Drosophila melanogaster: one gene and its partner. The protein of the gene in region 1 interacts with the protein of each later gene in a pairwise test. Each region holds a gene or a part of one and is shown in the gene's direction. Other genes may lie near its edges.

The links.
Region 2: the proteins of C1GalTA (region 1) and CG1674 interact in a two-hybrid assay, tested with the Drosophila melanogaster proteins (one large-scale study listed by BioGRID).

The regions. Positions count from the first base shown.
Region 1 is NT_033779.5:8,947,172-8,954,661, reverse strand, and holds the start of C1GalTA (core 1 galactosyltransferase A), read left to right. Parts: upstream 1-3,445; 5' UTR 3,446-3,684; exon of another isoform or gene 3,685-3,892; intron 3,893-6,790; exon of another isoform or gene 6,791-7,100; coding exon of another isoform or gene 7,101-7,255; intron 7,256-7,313; coding exon of another isoform or gene 7,314-7,356; exon of another isoform or gene 7,357-7,396; intron 7,397-7,490. Other genes in the region: CG31886 (uncharacterized protein), read left to right, coding at 1-640; CG46397 (uncharacterized protein), read right to left, coding at 7,101-7,255, 7,314-7,356. UniProt on the Drosophila melanogaster protein: Glycosyltransferase that generates the core 1 O-glycan Gal-beta1-3GalNAc-alpha1-Ser/Thr (T antigen), which is a precursor for many extended O-glycans in glycoproteins.
Region 2 is NC_004353.4:228,358-235,969, forward strand, and holds the start of CG1674 (uncharacterized protein), read left to right. Parts: upstream 1-3,068; 5' UTR 3,069-3,243; exon of another isoform or gene 3,244-3,270; intron 3,271-3,492; exon of another isoform or gene 3,493-3,577; 5' UTR 3,578-3,596; coding exon 3,597-3,620; intron 3,621-3,921; coding exon of another isoform or gene 3,922-4,491; intron 4,492-5,907; coding exon 5,908-5,988; intron 5,989-6,506; coding exon 6,507-6,587; intron 6,588-7,612. Other genes in the region: yellow-h, read left to right, coding at 548-1,214, 1,554-2,042.

The DNA.
Region 1 (7,490 bases):
CCGGGAACGTCTCAAAAGACACAATAGGGTAGCCCATAGGAATCAGAAGAGACAGGATCTTTACGATACGCTTTATAAAAGATCAAAGAGGGAGAATGTCTACGATAGAAAGACGATCCATGGAGGAAATGCTATAAATTTTACGGAAACGGACGAGTCGAATTCGGTGTCCAGCTTTGAGACAGGACTATTTCAGTGTTTCAATGGAATGATCCTGCTGCAGGAGTTCTTCAGGCCAAAAAATGAATGCTCAAATCCGCACATAATGGACACTTCGCCCAACAAGAGTTCCATGGTGGTGCACAACGTCATCGAGGATGGGTACTACTATTATATATTCTACAGCGACAATGATCACGTTCAAAACGAGATCCACGCCATATTCGATATTTACAAGCCGACGTATCAGTACTCAAACATGAGCGAGTCACAAAGCTGTCTGAATACCACAAATTGCACATTCAACATCAGTTTCCTTTCGGATGAGATTGTGGTGGTGGAGGTTCCAACACGGGATGGTATCGAGCACGAGGAGGACGATATAACCAATCTGATCTCCACCTGTCATCCGCGCAGCGAGATATACGCCATCTTTCCCATTACGGTGCTGGTGCTGATCCTTTGCTGCTCCTTCCTGTAGTCCTCCTGATCCAATATTATTAATATACTATTGTGATATTTATGGTGAGGTAACTACCGGGTGATATACTCGCTTGTGAGTGTGTTAACGTTATGGCCGGCCCCAAAACGAGAGCTTTTAAAATAGCCATAGAATATTCCATATCGGTTATACACACACGGAATGAACAGTCTGAACAAATCGTTATCAATATTCGTAGATTTTATGCTAGACTAGAATGTAGCCTAAGACGCAAGCATTTTTTGGTCTACAAATGAAAATGGGAAAATAGTAAGATAAAATATGTAAATTGTATATCGTGTACAAATAAATGTAGATACCAAGTAATTTTAAGATGAAATTGTAGTACTTATCAATTAATTCAATTATTCTCATTTTATAAACGACTTTGATCTTTTTGTTTACCTGAACACATTTTAAAGACAATTCTTATGTAGTCATTTGAAGAGGATTAGTTTTAATGCTTTTGTTGACTTTGTATAAGTGATTTGAATTTTAAGGAAATTTTCATTAGTTTTTTAATAAAAATAAAATTGATTGTAATCAAGCGTTGTAATTTTTCATTTTATACTCAATGTCTACATTTTAACGTTGCCGCAAAATATTTTCCACTGGCTTCAGTTTTAGGAGAGAAAAAAAATTTTGTTGATTCTAGTTATTTTAGATTAATTTGCACACCACTCAAAGCTAATTTGCCGATCATTTGTGTGAGTCTTTTCCTAATTTGGCCACGGGAGTAATGCAAATATTTACATAAAATTCATGTACACATACATGCCTGGAAGAAATGAAATAACATTTTCATTAAAAATGAATAAATTTACTGTCTAGTCTTTTAGTTCATACACTCAATTGAGCAGCGTAAACAAAGTGCCTTGGATTATCCGATTAACATAGTTGCATTAGATTAAGTTATAAAAGAAAATAATAAAATAGTAAAAACAGTATTCAGTAAAAAAAAAATTATTTTTAAAGAAGGGAAAAAAAATGAAAAAAAAACATCATTCAAATTTAGCAGATCGTTGGGAACGTCAGCAAATGAAAGCTGATTGCTACGAATCTAATGTTGATCTACACTGTATATACTTGTGGTTGTGTAGATAATGTGTAAGATTACAGTAAAAAAAATAAAGTCAGTCAGCGATTTTTATACCCGTTACTCGTAGCTTAAGAGGGTATTCTCGACTTGTTGAAAAGGGTGTAACGGATCTTGACACGCGGCATTTTTATTTCGAAACATCACGCCGACACTTTTAAAACATTTTTTTTGAGTAACGGGTATCTGGTAGTCACGAAACTCGACTGTAGCGTTTAAAAAACTCCTGAACTCTCATTCGTTGCTCACTAATTAGAAGACAGAATTTGCCCTTATCAGAGTTGTCAGATAATGCTAACAAGAAATACTATCTTATCTGAAGTGATCGATTGCAAAAAGTTATATGAACTCATTAACCAGCCCCACATCAATAAATATTTATTAAAGGCATTCGTCACCAATTGCATTAATTTCGATTTCTGGGTTTAAAAATATTTAACGTATATTCACTAATTTTGGCTGACAACATGGAGTTACCTTAATAAATTTTCAAGTAGTCTATGTTCAGGTTTCGAATATGAAGTATTAGAAGTCTTTAGCATCACAGAAGCCGGTTGTTAATGTACAATAGATAACGAATCAAACAAAAACGTTTCTTAACGAGTTTGCGCGTATACATAACTTGTTTAATTACAGTTGCGATATCGCAAATTTTTAACGTACAATGCAAAAAATTTCTTGCATTCAAATTTGATGTTAGTTATATTTTCTAATAACGGTTTTGGACAACTATTTTTATAGCTTGTGAAATCTTACTAGAAAAAAAAAAAAAAAAAATACAAAAATCTTATATTTTTAAACGGGGTTTTCTCTATAACTTGGTAAAAAAAAGGTGGCACATCTAACGAAAAAAAACACTGTTTTATACTGCTCATAAGCATACCTAACTATCCCTATCATAATTTTAATGATTTTCAAAAATCAAAATTTGAACAAGTTTTCGGTAATTTTATATTCTTTCCTTTCTAGATTGTGATTTTTGGAGATATTTCAGACGTACAATTATCAATTTATATATTATGCACATATATTTGTATTCATTCTTTGAGAAAGTAATATTCGAAAGAGTGGACACAAATCTTAGAACCAACCCCAAAAACAAACCCTTAAGATAGTTTCCAACAGCTGTTTTGCCAAATATATGGTGACTAGTAGCGAGTGATGAGAGAAACAGGCCATTGATAAATCGAAGTCACACCACTTATATATACAAACTACATATCTTACCTATAATATTTTAGTTTAATAGAAGTTTTTTTTATAATTTTCAAATCACTCTCGCTCTTTATAGAAAGCCGGTACCGGTTTACACCCCCTTTCCGACACAAGCATATAAAAAGAACAGCGAGAGAGAGAGAGAGTGAGCTTTGGTTCTCTCACTTAATTCTGTTGATTGCACAGGTAGAAACAAATAACTTGTATACTGCGATATTTAAATTTATTTGTTTTTGTACTAATTTGTACTATATTCTGGTTAAATATGAAATAGTTAAAAATACTTATTGGGAACTGATATTTTAAATAATATATTTAATAATACTTGGTGTAATTAAATTCAAATTTTTTACTTTTATTGCACTAGACAGCAATAATAGCTTATGTTTCAACTTCGATCATAATCATAAATTTTTTTAATTTACAACTTTCAACATTTTCTTGCCAGTGTACTCTGTTCTCTTCGTTCTCGCTCGTGCTCAGTTTTAGAATTCGCGGCAGTTGTTTTTGTTTGTCCGGCGCGTTCGCTTGCTTCACTTATGCGCTTGTTGAAAATCAAGGAAAGGGCGCGGAAAATAAGTTTAATTAAATATTTCGAGTGGCTCGACTAACACAGCAATTAAGCGAATGTGCAAAACGTGAAAGCAGTTGTGAATAAAACGCACTCATCGCGAAATTAAAAGCTTTTTGGGAGCGTCCTGCGATGGAGAAACGCGTGAGGAAAAATCAATTCGTAAGTAAATGGGCGACGCGAAAAACGGTGATTTAAAAATCAAATGAAATGAAACGCGTGCGGAATTTACCTGAACGGAAAACTAATCGGTCAGCAAAAATTGCGTTTTGTGCCAAAACAGAAAGCGCAATAAATATAATATACAATTGCGCATATGGTGTATGTACATAGAGTGCAAGAAGAACGTGACAAGGAAGAGCAAACGAAGGTGAAGAGTGTGAATAAAACCAAAACAATAAGAACGAACAAGTTTAAGCCACTGTTACGGCAAGTAACGCACGAGAATATACATATGTACATATATTGGTTTCCAACTGGAAACTGAAATTGACTAGAAGGAAGTGGAAGGAAGAATTGCCTGACGGCCTTTCCTTCCAGTCCGGCCACTCACACTACCAAAGCCCCTTGCTGCAGGATGTTAAAATAAAGCTAATGAAGAAAAGAATTGAGAACAGTATAAAAAAAATAGCTAAACTCTTGGGTCCCCATTCCTAAAATATTTGTAAACTCTGATCCTATGCCTAAAAATTATAAAATCAATGCAAAAAGTTTAAATTATAAGGTACAGCATTTATTAAATTTAACGTTCTGTTCCAAGTGTGTTTGAGGCATTTAAGGCGACAACTCTAATATGTTATCTGTTTGAGGGTCGTTGGTCTTGAGTATTTTTAATAACCCGCTAAACACAAAGGAATATGTTGATAACTAGGCGAGAAGTGGCTTCCCAATTCGTGATGTCTTATCCTGGTGGTTGTTGTTGTCTCTGTTAATGTAATGACATTCCCCAAACAGCTGCATTTTGGTTTCTCGCTCTCCGGCTCTCTTCAGTTGTCATTTCCGTTATGCCCTGCCATGCACTCAGCCCTCCCCCTCTATTCCCTTTTGCATCCGGGGGGTGAATTAACTGCAGCCGAAACGCATTTACTTTAATTTATTTGTGGTTCCAGTGGGCGTCACTTTCTCTCCCTCTCATTTTTATCTCGACAGAGAGAGAGAGAGCAGCACATGCTATTGTGCGTGCATTTGTATTTGTATTTCTCGTCTCTGCTCTCTGATTAGCCTTCTCTTGTTATTGTTGCGGGGATAATTCATATGCAGATTGCACCTAGTGATTGCCATTCAAATTCAACTGATAGTGGAAGCTGGAACTTGTACTATAAACATACATATGGTTCTTCCTGCTTCAAGTAAAAAAACAGTAGCCATTTCCATCAGTCATCAAAGTAATGAACTCTCCTTGCAACATATGGGACTGAATAAGAATAGTACTTTATGCTACTTTTAGCATGTTTTCGTTTTCCAGAAGAGAACTACCTAGTAAATGAGTTTTAATAATTATGAATGACTCTAAAAGACTGATCCTTAAAGAGCTCCTTACTTAATGTATTATTACATTATTTTTAAAAATATTCAATACCAAGTCAAATAGTTTTTAATGTATTATTTCTTGTATTGGGTGTATTTGTTCTTAAATGTGTGTTATTTCGTAAAGCCAAAAATCTGAATTTGAATAGACTAACCCAATAACCTTAAACCAGCTGTGCCATGCCCCGCGGGCTATACTATAGAATATTGTTCAATGGCCCCAAAAAGGTGCCATTTCACGTGAGATTCAGGTGAATAGCGCTATACCTATTCATTAATCAGCAATCAATTATCTATCAGCAAAGCCTTTTAATCAATATTTAATTAAGAACTCACATTCCGACTTTTCTTCTTATACATTGCTTTTGTCGATGTCGTTTGAACAACAGAGTAATAGATATTGTTCATTGGGACAGAAAATAATAGTTACTTGAGAACTCTTATAGATAAGCTCTCCGTAAAGTATACAAAATTTTAAGGAATGGAATTCTTTAAGGTTGAACTAATGGCATAATCACTTTTCTCATTCGTTCGTTATATGAATCATATTAATATTTCCATTTTCATTTGCTGTATTGTACTATTACACGATGAACAAAGAAACAGAGTTTTAAAAACGAATGCCATGTTTTTTTTTTGTGCCTGATAACAATTCCGCAGTCCAGTTCCACTTTGATAAACAGCTGCCGACATCATTGTGCCAGTCCTTACTGTATTGTTTATCTGAAAGGGAAGTTACTGAAAGTGAATTGAAATAAAACGAGAATCATAGAGCCAAAACATTAAGTACAGGGTACTTTGCTTATACGGGCTCCAAAAATAAAATACAATAACTGAATTAAAATATTTGCGGGATCGCAGAGCGTGGCTGATTTTATTGACCGCAGATGAAAAGCGGCCAAACAAAACAATTGTACAATTGGTTTGGTTTCTGGTTTTAGTTTGTCTTTCTGGCCCATTCTGTTTTTACATTTTTTTTTTTAAATTACGATGAATGGACTGTCACGCTAGTCTGAGTATAGGGCAGCAAAAAAGCAAAAGGCACTCTATTAACTGAATGACATAATAATAAATTTAGTTTAGCTTAATTTCTATTAACAGGTGCTCCATTACGCGCTCTCGATGAATTAGTTAAGAACTAGATTATTATTATTATTATACATATATAGTGAATAAGAATTTAAGCTACATAAGTTGACTTTTGGGAAAACTTAACTACAATATTAAGCTGGTTTTGAAAAACCCATAAATATAGTTATGCTTATCTATTTGAGTTATGATGAGGTAAACGTTTTATGTCAAGGGTTCTACACACACACATTGAGGGAATTTTTTAAGCTTTACAATGCCACAAAATATTTTTTTTTATTATCTGTGCAAGGTACTACATCTTTGACGAGACAAACTGGTGTTATAATGTTTTATTATCTTTGGCTTTATCTGAGTACGCCACAAACACCGAAATTTCAAAGATAACAACTAAAATACGTAATAGCACGAATAAAGCTAATCACCATGGATATCAAATAGATCACTGAAATAGAATTGCCAGACAGTATGAATTATATACACGTTCATATTCGTGCTACCGAACAGTATGTGATTATATAATTTTCTTTTTTGCTCGACAAGTAATTTTTCAATTGGCCGCTGCAGTGCATGGGAATAGTTTTTGGATCGGCAATGGATCTAATATTAGAACATTTGTAAATACAATATTTGCCACGATTCGCAAACTTTTGTTTGTTATTCACTCCACGCAAATCGGGCATCCCAAAGGCGTTCGAATCTGATCAGTAGACTACAATGATAAGCAAATACGCGGTTAAATTGCGTTTAATTGCTATTGTACATTAGATTGGAGCGGCGATGTCGGTCTGACATGTTGTTCATGCTTAAATTTAATTAATTTGCAAATTACAATTGCAATTGCAAAGCGCCAAGCAAGTCGGGCAAACACACTGGTCTCTGATGTGCCACCCACACAACCTAGCATTGCATTCCCAGTTTACAATTGATAATTGCTGGGCTCAGGGGTCTATCTCAGATTTTCAAAATCCTTGACCTGGTGACTGCATATCCTCGGTGTGAATTGGTCTGAAGCTGTCGAAGTCATCGATGCGCAGCGGAATGGCGATGAGTTTAGCCAGGCCGTAAAATACGGCTAAGCACAGAAAAATGGTCAGAATCATTTGGCTGGGCGGCACTAAAAAACACATAATGTTTATAAAAACCTGCTTGTTAAATGTATGAACTCAGCAAACCCTTGCCGGTGAACCAAGGCAGTTTAGGACTAGACGATATCATTTTTATCACACTTAACACTTTGATGACAGAGTTCCAAATGAGATATAAAGTCAAATTGAACTATCGACTTTAAAAAACCACCAACTGATCAAACAAAAGCTACGCCTAACCAACCATTCATACATACAGTGATC
Region 2 (7,612 bases), on another chromosome or scaffold:
TAAATTTAAAATGCTTGTATTGTGAGAGGTATAAAAGAAAATTCGAAAAATAAACTATTTGACGCTCTTATGTCACAAATAGTCGAGATCCCCGACTATCAGATATCCGTTAATCAGCTCGTGGAACTGCGAATGCGAAAAAAAATTAACAAATTAATATCTTATCTCGAAAACTATAGGAGACTAGTTCTTATAAATACTTTCTTTTCATTCGAATCATTCAGTGCGTCTCATCCATATCTTTAATATTGATGAATAAATCCTAGCATTATCTCTAATGCTATAGTCGAGATCCCCGACTATCAGAATCCCGTTACACAGCTAGGGAAAATGCAAATGCAAATAAAGATCGACGTACATGGCCAGTTCGACTTGGCTATTGATCCTTATAAAGAATATTGTATATGACCATATAGAACATGGTCAGAAACGCTTCCTTCTGGCTGTTACAGACTGTTACATAAAGGATTATCATAATCTGGCTTTATGTGTTATTCTACTGCGCTGAATTTACTGTCTAATTATTATAATATATTAATATTTACAGAGACTTTGTACCAAAAAATAATTTACCTTTAGGCATTGATGTCCATAATAACCGCCTGTTTGTGACAACTCCTCGTTGGAAGAATGGTGTGCCTGCTAGCTTAGGTACACTGCCCTTTCCTCCAAAAGAGTCAAGCCCGGCAATAAAGCCGTATCCAAACTGGGAGGCTCATGGAAATCCAAACAATCCTGACTGCTCAAAACTGATGTCAGTTTATCGAACAGCTGTAGATAGGTGTGATCGAATTTGGCTAATTGATTCTGGAATTGTCAATGCTACAATAAACTTAAATCAGATCTGCCCACCAAAAATTGTTGTGTATGATCTTAAAAGTGACGAACTGATTGTTCGATACAATTTGGAAGCTTCTCATGTGAAGCAAGATTCGTTGCACTCCAATATTGTTGTGGATATTGGAGAAGATTGCGATGATGCGCATGCTATCGTATCGGATGTATGGAGATTTGGTCTACTTGTTTACAGCCTATCAAAAAACCGCAGCTGGCGCGTGACCAACTATAACTTTTATCCGGATCCCTTTGCTTCGGATTTTAATGTATACGGATTAAATTTTCAATGGCTGGATGGTGTTTTTGGAATGAGTATATATTACAATAAGAAAATAATGGAACGCGTTCTTTATTTTCATCCAATGGCAAGTTTCAAGGTGAGTATAAGGAGTATATAAATAAAGACAAGAAAATGGCTGGGAATTGATTTGATATTGATTTTAAAAAATGCCTTTCTTAACATTGTCTTTATTGTCTAAATAATGGCTCGCCGACTTACTTTTAAAAACCCCTCCTACAGCTTACTACTTGATCAGTCTTACTTAAGGTACTTAAATAAATCTAAATCTTAAGTAAGCTAATTATCTGCAGCTTGTAGGGTCCGAAAAGGCTTATTTCTGTTTTATTTTTATTAACCAAACTAGCAATCCCTTATACTCTACGAGTAACTGATATAATAATAATAATAATTGTGATTATAATACTTTCTCATTTAGGAGTTCATGGTGCCTATGAATATCTTGTTAAACGAATCTGTGTGGCAAACGAATACTCAAGAGTACGCCAAGTACTTCATACCAATTGGAGACCGCGGATATAATTCTCAATCATCTACATCAGGAGTTACAAGGAATGGCATTATGTTTTTTACACAAGTTCATCAAGATGATATTGGATGCTGGGATACATCGAAACCATACACTCGAGCACATTTGGGAAAATTTCATAATATGGAAAACTCAAATCTTATTCAATTTCCAAATGATTTAAAAGTAGACAAAGAAAAAGATCAAAATGTATGGCTTATAAGTAACCGACTACCAATTTTTCTATACAGCAATCTAGATTATGGAGAAGTAAATTTTCGAATTTTAAAGGCGAATGTAAATAAGATTATTCGCAATAGTGTTTGCAATCCGGATAATAGTTATATTAATACATCAAAGTCAGCTTTTGTGTTGATAGAAGAAGGACAGTGTTTTTGAAAACTATGGTAAATAAACAATTACACAACAAAATGTTGTAAATTTTTGAACAACCTTGGTATTTGCGTCCGTTACAAATGATACTCTAGTACCTTTTTTGAAGGTTTGGGTCTAACAGATTTTTGCGCTTTGTTGTGTCCAAGCAATTAACTAAATTGACTAAAAGAATAACAGTTTTTAAACGTGTACGAGTTCCAAATTGGCATAAGATCGGACTTTTAAGAACATACGTATCTAAAATTAGCTTTCTAGCTTTTAAAATTTTAAAGATCACGAAATTAAAATGGACGTACATTGCTAGATCAACTTGGCTTGCGATTCTGCTCGAATATTCGAAGTATATTCTTTATGGGTCAGCAGTTCTTCCCTCCGCCATTCTAGTTTTCAACGAATGAATATTAGGGTTCAAATTCAAACGTGTATACAATTGTTTGTAATATATTTATATTTTTTAGTCGTACTGTGAAAGGTTATATCCAATTGTAAGAAGTAACAGGTAGGGAGCGTGTTCTTTCTTCTATTGTATCTTCAAGTTCGTGTTATCGTCATTAGTTTCCTCTGAAAGTGGTTTGATTTTGGGTGTACTTAATATAACATCTCTAAAAGAGAATATTACTATCTATAAAGAAATATCGAACATCAATGGATATATGTATATTCATGTTACAGTATTTTCTCGAGATATTACTTTGAATATAATCAAATTTGGGCGATGTTAACTTAAAGATGGTTCGCACTTTACTCATTCGTAAATTTAAGTTTTAAAAACAAGGTATGTATGTAAGTGCATATAAGACACTGCGACTTATAACTATAAAAATAGTAAATAAAGTACTCCGTTCCAATAAAAGGGGCTCTCATCGATGCGCTTGTTTGCCGAACAAAGATGCTGTATACATACGTATAAATTTACGAGAAAATATTTTTGTATTTGTGAAAATAAATGTATTTGTGTGTGACTTTTAAATACACATTTCCCAAATTGCTGTATGCGAACGAGCCGATAATCAAGTAAATAAGCATGTGGACAGTGTGGAAGCTATCTTTGATGTGCAATCATATTCTTAAAGGCAGGCGCATGAATTCATGTTCATTCTATTGGCCTATACGGATTTTAGTTGTATTATTATCTTTCAATAATTCGATACTACAGTATTGTTTGCAGTAAATATTTTTTTAAACAAATAACATTGGGAAATAGGCAAGTGAAAAGATATATTTGATATATGTACGTGTAAATTATTATTATGGATATTAAAAAAAAGAAAAGTTAGTGTGGTCGAAGAGAAATTAACATTCATGTTGTATATGCTTCTCACTATGTATTACATAATAACAGCACCAACGAACATTATTTGAGTGTCTCTATATGTATTTACATTCAGCATAAAATGCGATATTTTATAACTGAGTGTGTTGCATGTGCTTTATTATAAATTACACCCTTATGTAATAATAATAATGCAGGACCTGCCTACCTGTTGAGACGATACAAATATAAATTCCTTTCTCTACATTTTATTATTATTTTATAGATTTGTACAGCTTTTAGATATGGATTCTACTTTAAATATTGAGGTAAGTCAAAAAACAATATTTAATTAATTAATATAAATATAATATTCACCTATAAAAAATTCAAAGTGCTTAGATTTTTTACAAGATTTTTTACATCTTTTACATTGTTATACATTTACTTTTGACAATTTTCTCAGAGAGAAAATGGTAATACATTTATTTAAATAAATTATTGTAATTATTAACTAAATATACCGTTTACGTTTTTTGCCATCATTTTTAATGTAAATAATAGTAATATTACCATTTAATAAATAGATAGAAATAAACTTTACAAACTCATATTTTCTACAATCTAAAGGAGAAAGAAATTGCTACAAAAAATGAAACCCAAATAGATTACGCTGATGAGATTAAAACTACTCCCCAAGATAATGATAATCTCAATGAAAAACTCTTGGTATCTTATATTGACAGTGGTTTTGATAAACCCGTCACTTCAAGAGATAATAAAGATGATGACGATCTAAAAATTGAAGAAAGCGAATCTGAAGACTGTAATTCAGAGAAAAAAAATACAACAGATTTGGAAGTAAACCCAGCTGCACTAATTGACAAGCCGTCTTTAGATATTAGCTCATCGGATATGGAGAGAACTGTTGAGATAGAAGACTCCGAATCCAATAACCCTATTATTATAGATGCATCTATTAAAACGGACCCATTAATATCTGTGGAAAATTTGTCCACCGTTTCTGAGAATAATTTCGAGTTGGACTTAATAGATGGGAGTACTAATGGTGAAAATTCATCGAATGCGGAAAACGAATCACCTGTTCAAGACACGTCGAACATTCTAATTAAAGGCGAAGATGATAAAGCTATCGAAAATTGCAAATCACAGGATACCACTAAATCTTCGTCGGAAAAAGTATTTGTATTTTTAAGAATAACAGACCTAAATTATCGCCTTCAAGCTTCAAAAATGTTTTTTATTTAACATAATATTTATAAAGAAAAAGTAAAGCAAATGTTGCCCTAACTTACCATATACCCTGCAAAGGCTACATTTATTTTTTACTTCATAAAGTCTAAATGTGTATTTGTAACTTAGTAACTTAGTCCAGGTACTTGGATCTAAGTCAATAATATTTAAAACATGATTTAGGTAAAAAAAAAATATTGTTGAAACGTTTTTATATTTTTAAAGAAATTCTAACAAGTTTAAGGAATTAATGTCCTGATTACTCGTAATCTTCAAAATCAGATAAAAGGCGGAATGGATTAGGATCTCTTTTAGAATTGTTGTCGCCATTTCCGCCTGTTTGTCCATTTAAACTTCAAGATATATATGAATATGAATATGCACTTTCAGCATTCTGATACCAGTGACATTTCTGCAAGTTGGTTTTAAAAGATTGGCCCTCATACTCCAACGTTCATCAACCGCGGAAACTGTCATCCCCACACTTTTGCATATTCTAAACCGGTTACTCGTGAAGTAAAAGGGTATACTAGATCTTTGATCAATATGTAACAGTCAGAAGGAAGCGTTTCCAACCATATAAAGTATATATATTCTTGATCTGGATCGATAGCCGAGTCGATCTGGAAGTGTCCACCTGTATGAAAGTTGACATCTCAGGAACTAAAAAAGCTAGAAGGTTGAGATTAAGCATACAATTTTTGTCTGTATACCAAAAACACTGTTGTCCGCCCATTTTTTCACCTACAAAACTATCAAAACGGACGCGCCCACATTTTTAAACAATGTTAAATTTTTTTTCTCATTTTATTCCCCAATATCTATTGATATCCAATAATAATTATAAAATTTCGGCTTCGCATTCACACTAGTTGAGTAACGGGTATCTGATAGTCGGCGAACTCGACTATAGCATTCTCTCTTGTTTTAAAGTGCGTTTTAAAAAATAATGTTGGAAATAGTCAAGCTTTATAACTATGTGCTTTTCGGAACCGGATACGGATAGGGGAACTACTCAGATATATACGAAAAACTCTGACTCTGCATGGGTATTAATCTAGGTATAACGCTTATATTTGAGCACAAGCAAATAATTATTTAAGCTTCTGCAGTTCTGCAGAGTAAATTTTGTCAAACATAAGGCAAAAGCCTACGACTCTTTGAACTGTGTTGTTTAATTGCATATGTTTAATATTATAATTGATTTATTAATTATTGTATGATTTGGTTTAAAATTTTGGAACATTCATTCAGCTGCACTTCATTATTTTAATACGCAGCTTACAAAAGTTTACTTACAGCTTCGTGCAAATCATACATTATCAATTTCGATTAGATCTTTAAAGTGTACTTTATTTTTAGAATGTCAATGACCCAACATCCATTGCATCTGATTTATCGGCCGAAAACACTAAAGCAGACCTTGTTTCGCTAAATGAACCGGTAAGTAAGACTATACACAGTTTTATAGCTCATTTCAATACAAATTCATGTGTAATTATTAAAAAATATAAACACGTCTTCATATTAACTTTTGTGACGTTACATTTTTAAAATATATATAACATTTTTGGCGGTTTTCGGGCATTTGGGTGGGCATAATTGTTACCGATAGAAATCGGAAAGACATATGATAAAATTAAAAAAAAAACTGTGGGTCTGGCAACACCAGAAAAGAAACTTGTGGGCGTGACTGTTTTGGGCGGCTTGTGGGCGTTAGAGTGGGCGTGCAACAAAAAGAAACAAACTCGTGCTGCGTCTGTCAATGAAATCTGAAATTATTCTTTACTTACATACAAACGACATTCATACAAAATAATCGATTCGGTTATGGATCCTGATCAAGAATATATATACTTTATTGTGTCGGAAACGCTTCCTTCTACCTGATACATACTTTTATAGGAAGCTAGGAGATTAAAAACCCAGTAGACTAAATAAATATTGTGTTTGTTTTTTAGAAAACCTATGAACCCACAACCATTGCGCCTGATTTGAAGATGGAAAACACAAAAAACAGCATTCCATCGCCAATTAAGCCTGTAGGTAACACCACTCACTAATCAAAAGCTAGATCGGTTTGCAAATTACTATGGATAATTTGTACAACATGCATGTTTTCATTAGTTGTAGGTTTAGCACTTAATCAGATAAAGATTCATAGCAACATTCATCTATAAAATGGGGTGCATTGTGTGCATGCTTGCTTTCTGGCATTCAGCGACATTAACGGATTCTACAAATCTATTAAACAAATAAATGTTAATAAAGAATTATTTAAATAATTAGGATTTTTTATAGAGTAAAACACTCTATAACACTGCTCTCAAGTTTCTCAAGTAAAAGGGTATACTAGATTCGTTGAAAAGTATGTAACAGGCAGTAGGACGCGTTTCCGACTATATAAAATATACATATTTTTGATCCCGATCAATAGCCGAATCGATCTAGCCGTGTCTGTCTGTTCGCTGTCCGTATGAAGGTCGAGATCTCAGGAACTTTAAAAGCTATACGATTGGGATTCAGCATACAGATTCTAGTAATGTAAATGTCTATCGATTTGAAAAAAAAACTTTTTGCCACGCCCACCCCAACGCCCTAAAAACGCCAAAACTGCCACGCCCACATTTTTAAACAGTTTTTGGACATTCTTTTTCGCACGGGTTTTTGTACATTTTTCCATAATTGTTAGCCTTGTAAATTTATATCGACTAGCAAAAAAACTTTTTGCCCCGCCCTCTTCAACTCCCTGAAACCGCCCAAAACTGACACGCCCACATTATTGAAAATTTTTTTGGATATATTTTTTTAATATTTTTAGTCTCTAAAATTTCTATAGATTCGCCAAAAAACATTTTGCCCCGCCCAATCAAAACGCCCTAAAATTGCTTAAAACTGACACGCCCACACTTTAAAACAATTTTTAAATTTTTAAATTAAATGAAATGAAATTCCGCGTTCGCATTCGCTCTAGCTGAGTAACGGGTATCTGATAGTCGGGGAACTCGACTATAGCATTCTCCTTTGTTTTTATTAAAATGTACTATGACACATATTATATCTGAAT